Canis lupus familiaris: one gene and its partner. The main gene of each other region encodes a partner of the protein of the gene in region 2 in a complex. Links are inferred from orthologs where the notes say so. Each region holds a gene or a part of one and is shown on either strand. Other genes may lie near its edges.

Region 1 (3,565 bases), on a different chromosome or scaffold from region 2:
ACTCAACGGTGACTTCAGAGCGTCTCTCTGTTTCTGTGCATCTCGGCCTCACTCTCTCTTAAGCTCTTCTCCTGTAGACCTTCTCTGCACAGGCTCCCTTTCCTTCTCCCGTCTATTTCTGGCCACCAAGCTGTTTCTTTAACGGTCATAAAATCTTCTGCAGAACGTTCTTGTTATCTTCCAATCCCAACACAATGCTCAGGGTTCAGTGTACAGTGGATCCCTTCACACCCATCAATAGGATACAGCTAGAGAAGTGCTTGATTTCTAGGATTGCCAAATTTTCGCTAAGTAAGGTAAGTAGAAGAGCCAAAGAAAGTTAAGTACCCCCACATTTGTGATGGAATTGTCTTGAGGAAGATGTTCTCCTCAGTCTGAGAGACAGGGGACAGATACTAGTTGTAGAAGCTGAAAGAGGAAGAGCAGATTCTCACTCAAAGTTGGGGCAATTCTGCAGCAGAATGTTTGCCCATTTGGATGATTGTTTGATATCTGGCTCCACGCTCTGCAACTTCCACATAAGAATAAACCAGGGATTCCTGGGTGGCGCAGCGGTTTGGCGCCTGCCTTTGGCCCAGGGCGCGATCCTGGAGACCCAGGATCGAATCCCACGTCCGGCTCCCGGTGCATGGAGCCTGCTTCTCCCTCTGCCTATGTCTCTGCCTCTCTCTCTCTCTCTCTCTCTCTCTCTCTCTCTATCATAAATTAAAAAAAATAAAAAAAGATTAAAAAAAAATAAGAATAAACCAAACGATTGAAAAATGAAGATTCAGGAGCAGTGAAGTTTTCAATAGCCTTATCTGTCTCGGGTGCCTAGAATGTTCTATCCCAGTAGCAGAGGTGACAGGTTAGGCAGAGAAGCTATTCGCCACGTCTATAGTTTCCTTTCTATTCACACACCCAAACAACAGGCTTCTAGACTGGAGTCGAGACCCTGGAGTTAAGGACCGTGTGGCAGAACAATAGGAATAACTTAGATCTAGTTCAGAAGCTGTCCATAAATTAAATTAGTCCAAAAGCCACTCTGGAACCTTCCCTGTCTAGTTTACAATCCATGACTCATCCCTGAAACCATTCTCTTCCCAGCACCTTCAGCTCCCCAACGTGCTACCCTAAACCCACGTCAGTCACAGGCGCTGCCCCTTGCACATCATCACTCAGGCCTTCAGGCCTAAGTGAAGAAAAATTACAGGATCATAAAACCAAACTAGCTGGCAACATTATAAATGCCTGGTCTCGGGGCGCCTGGGGTGCTCAGCAGTTGAGCGTCTGCCTTTGACTCAGGGCATGATCCCGGGGTCCTGGGATCAAGTCCCACATCGGGCTCCCCTGCAGGGATCCTGCTTCTCCCTCTGCCTGTGTCTCTGCCTCTCTCTGCGTGTCTCATGAGTAAATAAATAAATAATCTTTAAGAAAATATATGCCTGGTTTCTAACTCTGACAGGGTACTCAATGCTACCAGGTAATGCTAAGTTTCCCAGTCAATGCTACCATTCTACAAAGCTACTATTTCAAAACCATCACCACTCTCCCCGCACCTGCCATTTTATCGCCTCATTCTTGGAAGATGATCATCATCCCTACTTCATAAAGAAGAAAGAGTCATGAAGAAACTGTTTTAAACTTCGTGCCATAAAACCTATACACCCACATGTACCTAGACCATCCTCTCCCTCTTAACATCAACCCCCTCCTGCCCCTCTGCTCTTAAAAAAACCCAACCTCCTTCTCTGAAAAATCCCCTTGAAAGCATCACCTAAACTCACCATCTTCCCTGTTACATCCCACCCCCCACACACCATGGTCTTGAATGAGCACTTTGCAGTCTTGCTCTCACTCAACCAACAGTAGGCATGGCTGACCCCTTGGGTCTCTCCCCTTGACCTTCATGAGAGCACACTCCCTGGGTTTTCCTCCCACTCCACTGCTGCTGCTTCTCCGGCAAAGAAGACACAGATACAGAAACACAGGAACACGAAGATAGAAGAGAGCCACTGCTAACTAATTAGAGATGGGGAGGTTTTCAGTATTTGGGTTGCACCACACTGAGGCTGACAAAGCTCACTCCAGTGTCCCCCAAACTCCCATGCATGTCTCACCTGCTGAAACAGGAGTTCTTCGGCTTTGAGCCTCTCCATCATCTCCTGCTCAATCTCAGCTAGTTCTCTTTCCCGCTCCAAGTTAGCCATTTCCTTCTGTCTCTAGCAGGGTTTTAAAAGCAATTACCACATGACTAATTTGAGGCAGAATAATTTGTAAAAACAATCTTGAAAGAGTGTTAATCACCAATGACAGGGAAAAGGGGAAGCAAATTTTATTCAACCATTTAGAAAAGGTGCAATAATTTGGGGAGATATGTGTTTTATTTGAACAAAGAGCATAAAATTACAATTATACATTGGGTATGATCATAATTATGTAAAAAACAAAATCTACAAGTGCATAGGAAATGTACAGAAAAAAGACTAGAAGAAAATACCTAAAAATCTAAAAAGAAATCTTCTCTGGGGTATTTTTTATTCTTTCTGTTTTTTTTTTCATATTGTCCAAGTTTCTTCTATAATAAACATACTTACTATTTTTATAACAGAAATAACATTGAACTTTTTATTAAAAAAGTAGACAAACTGGACCAGTTATCTTATTCTTCTAATTTTCTAAAAGAAGATCCCTACTTACCAGTTGCTCCATGGTCACATTTTCCTTATATTTATAAATCCACAATGCTAAATATTCTATTGGATCCACTGGGCGAATTCTTGCCACTTCTGCAAGACCTTGAGTTAGACATGTCCCAAGGTGCTTTTGCAGATATGTCGACTCCATTTCTCCCCCCTGATTTCAAAAAGGTAAATGTTTTTGCATTAATGCAGGAAATGTTCAGTAAGTCACACTAAAAGCAGAGTCCAGTGAGGCCAACGGAGCACTGCATCCTGTCATGGGCACCTCCCACCAAGGATGACACTAGCAAGCTGGCTTGGTGAAACACCTAACAATTTCCAAAAGGACTCCACCGATGTCACAACAATTACCACTACTAAGAAGCACTTTCAAAATCCTGTAGGATCTCAAGGTTGAGATTCAGAAATGAACAACAAACATAACCCCCAACCAGCAAAGGGAAGAAAGTAACAAAGGTTAGAGCAGAAATAAATGATAAAGGAACTAAACAAAAAAAGATGAAAAAAAAAGTCAGAAAAAAGGGTACCGTCATGACTGTGAGACGGCCATGTGCCAAGCAGGGCATGTCTCACTCAATCCTCACAACAGGGGCCAAAAATCAGTGTCATCAGCCCACTGTGCGGGTGAGGAAGCCCAGGCGTAAGGGGCGTAGGTCAACGTGGTGAACATGGGATTCGTACCCAACTCTTGATTCCAGAGTCATAATCTTTGTGACCCAGATGTTCCTCCCAAGCCACGAGGGTAGTTTTAGAAAATCATAATACCCATAATATCATAATACTCTACCTCAAAAATAAAAACAAACAAACAAAAAACCCCAAAAGTCCATGAATCTCCAAGGACAAAAAAGTAAACAAAAAAATTCAACCTTCGAGGAATAGCA
Region 2 (4,030 bases):
CCCAAGATCACGACCTGAGCAGAAGACAGACGCTTAACCAACTGGGCCACCCAGGCGTCCCTCAAACAGATTTGTCTGTATTATCCAAGCTGGACAGGGCAGGAGATAACATGTCCTGATTTCCAGCCCACCACATCTTCCATTAGATCACTTTGCGTGTTTTATAATATCTGTAACACACAATTTAACAATCATATGATTTCTTACCTTGTTGCCTAATTGTTTTATTTATATTAGATTCCATAAGATTGGTACTGTCTTGGGGCAGCCCTGGTGGCTCAGCAGTTTAGCGCCGCCTTCAGCCCAGGGTGTGATCCTGGAGACCCCAGATCAAGTCCCACATCAGGCTCCCTGCGTGGAGCCTGCTTCTCCCTCTGCCTGTGTCTCTGCCTCTCTCTCTCTCTCTCTCTCTCTCTCTCTCTGTGTCTCTCATGAATAAATAAATAAAATATTTTTTAAAAAAGATTGGTACTGTCTTCCTTTCTCCCGGCAGGAATTGTGTCATAAATATTAACTGCCCTGAGCTTTAGTTTCCTCTTCTTTCAAGTATTTATCTCACAGGATTGATGTAAAAATTAAATCACTTGTGAAAGCATCTCATACAGTATCTGACACAAATGCTCTGGAAATATTTGTTGAATCTTAACTTTTTTCTCATCTCTTTCAACAAGTCACACAGACCTGAGTGCCTGGGCATGGCTCTATCAGGTCTTGTTGTCTATATAACAACGTTGGATGAAGAGTTTTTCATTGGGCACTTGTTGGATTTTCTCTCTTATTAGCACCCCCAAGAAGTTTGTATCAAACTAGTCCAAGTTATGAGGAAAAGTGAGAAGCAATCTACAACCCAACCCATTGTAGATTGGGTTTAGCAATCTACAATGTACTAGCATAGATTACGCTCGCACTCATACCCCTCAGTTGGTGTAGCTAAGCCTATTTTACAGATGAGAAAGTAGTCTTAGGTAAGCTGCTAGTGAACTGCAGATCTGCCAAGACTTCAACCCAGGTCTTAAGGTACATTGGCCTGGGCTCCTTCCACTCCACCAAGCCACCTTCCAAAGATCAACTGAGTGCAAGGCTGGGGTGGGAGTAGAAACCAGACCACGTACCTTGGGATTTCTTGCTCCTCTTCCCCCTTTAGCTTCAGAGCATATTTCTTTGGAATTCACAATACTTTTGTTTTGAGGATGTGCGGTCCCTTTAACGTCTGGAGTGACTTCGCATAGCCCCACCCATCTCCCCTCCCACTTCTCAGTTCCAAGCCCCACCCACTGCTTCCTGCTACCTGCCAATTAACGCTTGTAATCGGATTGGGAATTTGGCCTCTTTACCCGGCGACTAAAGGTCCGCTTGCTCTGGGGCGGATTTTCCGTTCAGTTTGTCGCGGGCCCCTCGAGGCCCTCCTCTCAGCGGTTGCCCCAAAGAAGTAGCCAAGTGTCCCGCCCCCTCGTTGCCATAACAGCAGTACACAACGCCTCCTTGAGCGTTTCCCCTCTTCCAAAACAACCTTTCCCAGTCAGAGCCAAGACCCTCTCCGGAACCTCACCTTTAGCGGAGCAGAGCCAGGGTCTGCGCCCCTCTGCGAAGGATTGGGTGGGAGGGTTGGAGACTGCGTCAGTCTGGTGCCCCAGAGGGGACAGGGAAATGGGGCTAGTTAGGGTGGGAAAGTAAAAAAGAAATGAATGGAGCATGAGTTAGGAATAGAAAGGAGGAGAGGGTTGTAGGAGGTTGGTAGGGGAACGTGGCTTAAGGAGGAGGTGGGAAGAACTGGGGAGGAGAAGGCCAAGAAGCAGGGAGGCGGAGCTACAATGAGACAGTTGGAGCCCCGCTGGAGGGCTGGAAAGGCCTGGAAAGGCGTACTGAAGGGACAGAAGTCCTTGGTGGGACATCAGAAGTGGAGGCTGGGAGTCAAAATGAGGTGTTCGCAGGGATAAGGAGAGAAACGCAGTTGGGAGGAGGTCAGGGATGATGGATGGGAAGGGTATCCCGTCAATGGAGGCAAGGGATCAGAGAGCCGAGGAGACAGACATTCTTTCTTGGGAGGGGCACTGAGCTTGATCTGTTACTCCAGAGTCGTCAGCAGAGAAGAAAGATGTCAGATGAAGACCTGGAAGATTTCGAGCCAGATCAGGATGATCTGGAAAAGGAAGATGATGAGAAGGAAACAGAGGAGTGGGAGGACTACAAGAAGGAGGGAGAGGAGTACTCAGAGGAAGTGAGAGCATGAAATCCTGGAATTGGTGGGGTCCTAAGGCTAAGGGATGGGGTTGGGCTGGAAGGGGATGCCTGATTCCACTTCCTCTTGCAGTGGATGCCCACGCCACTCACAGAGGACATGTTGAAGGAAGGGCTTTCTTTGCTCTGTAAGACAGGCAATGGACTGGCTCATGCTTATGTCAAGCTGGAGGTTAAAGAGAGGTGCGCTTATGGAGGACCAGGCTGCCGTCGTAGGGCCCAATCTCCTTTCTCACCCTCATTCCTGGGTGTTGCTGCTGGGAGTTTGGATCTCTCTTACTCTGGCCAGTGGAAGGGAAGGATAGAATTTGCTTTTCCAGAGCCCTGTGACTCCCCACATTAGAGCTAGCCTGGGGAATTCCTACTGGACTCCTTCAATTGTCCATCAGAATGTCAGTTCTCGGCTCTTTGCAGACATATGCCCCTGATCACTGTTAAGAACCCACCTATCTTCTCTCCTCCTCCCTCACCACTCCCATCAGTCACCCATTCTTCTCCATCTCCACATTGTCCTCTGCTTTAGCACCTCTGCTCCTTACTGGGTACTTAACCCTAACTCTGGCCTCCTTCATCTCTTAGGGACCTGACAGACATCTACTTGTTGCGTTCCTACATCCATCTGCGCTATGTGGATGTTTCTGAGAACCACCTGACAGACTTGTCGCCACTCAATTACCTTACCCACCTGCTCTGGCTCAAGGCTGATGGCAACAATCTGCGGAGTGCCCAGCTGAATGAACTGCCCTACCTGCAGGTTGCCAGTTTTGCCCATAACCAGATCACTGACACTGAGGGCATCTCTCACCCTCGTCTGGGCAGCCTGGATCTCAAAGGTAGGTCCTTAAGTTGGGCTACACAAGGTTCTCTCCTTCCTAGCTTGGGGCCAACAGAAGTGGGCAGTGTGGTCTTTGGCTGTGCCACACAGCAATTTCCATCCATCCATCCATTCATTCAGACAGTCCTTATGCTCCATTATGACATTTCTATGTGCTGGAGATGTAGCAGTGAACAAACAAAATCCCTAGTCTCATACAGCTTCCATTCTAGTCAGGGGGAGACAGACAACTATCAGTAAACGTAATAACTAAGTAAATCTATAGAGTATGTTAAGAGGAGATATGTGTGGTGGAAAATAGATTAGGATAAAGGGACTAGAGATAGGCACAGGTAGCAACTGCAAACAGGTTGGTTAGGACAAGGGTCATTGAAAAGCTGACATCTGAGCCAAGATTTGAGGGAGGAGGAGTGCCCCAGGGCCCCAGAGGTGTTAAGTCTGGAGCTGTCCCTCCTCATAGCCACCTCATATGGGAGGGAGAGGATGATGCAGAGGCTCCCAACATTCAGGCTCTGCTGCTGAACATTTGAAGCGGTCCTCTGAGTTCTTAACACTCTCCTGCTCCTTAGGGAACCGCATCCGCAGGGTGACAGGTCTGGACCCCCAGAAGCTGCTCAGCCTGCACACACTGGAGCTTCGGGGGAACCAGCTGGAGAGCACTCTGGGAATCAATCTTCCTAAGCTGAAGAACCTCTACCTGGTAGCTCGCTGGGTTAGAGGGTGGTTGGTGTAGGGAAAAGGGTGGTGTTCTGGGGGCCAGGATGCCTGGCTTCTAGTAGGCTCTACTAACACCATCATCATCACGATCATTTGGTTCATTTATCATTATCATTTATTGAGCACTCACTTGGTGCCAGATGCTGTGGGGATGCAAAATTAAAACAGACAAGATCCTTACTACCTAGCAGGGCTGCTAATGCATAATACATGAGAATAGAGACAATTTGTTTTGACACA

What was found. Proteins that work in one complex are often made in the same cells at the same time.
Region 1: LRRC23 (region 2) and DYDC1 share a complex: the UniProt entries of both Homo sapiens proteins name them as parts of the axonemal radial spoke complex. The link is inferred for Canis lupus familiaris from reciprocal best matches to the Homo sapiens genes LRRC23 and DYDC1.

Annotation. Positions count from the first base shown.
Region 1 is NC_049225.1:30,227,805-30,231,369, forward strand, and holds part of DYDC1 (DPY30 domain-containing protein 1), read right to left. Parts: intron 2,836-3,565; 5' UTR 2,827-2,835; coding exon 2,680-2,826; intron 2,202-2,679; coding exon 2,100-2,201; intron 1-2,099. UniProt on the Homo sapiens protein: Functions as part of axonemal radial spoke complexes that play an important part in the motility of sperm and cilia. Plays a crucial role during acrosome biogenesis.
Region 2 is NC_049248.1:7,958,860-7,962,889, forward strand, and holds the start of LRRC23 (leucine-rich repeat-containing protein 23), read left to right. Parts: upstream 1-1,210; 5' UTR 1,211-1,347; intron 1,348-1,357; exon of another isoform or gene 1,358-1,570; intron 1,571-2,074; 5' UTR 2,075-2,095; coding exon 2,096-2,218; intron 2,219-2,311; coding exon 2,312-2,421; intron 2,422-2,817; coding exon 2,818-3,071; intron 3,072-3,642; coding exon 3,643-3,773; intron 3,774-4,030. UniProt on the Homo sapiens protein: Essential for sperm motility and male fertility. Plays an important role in the proper assembly of the third radial spoke (RS3) head and the bridge structure between RS2 and RS3 in the sperm flagella.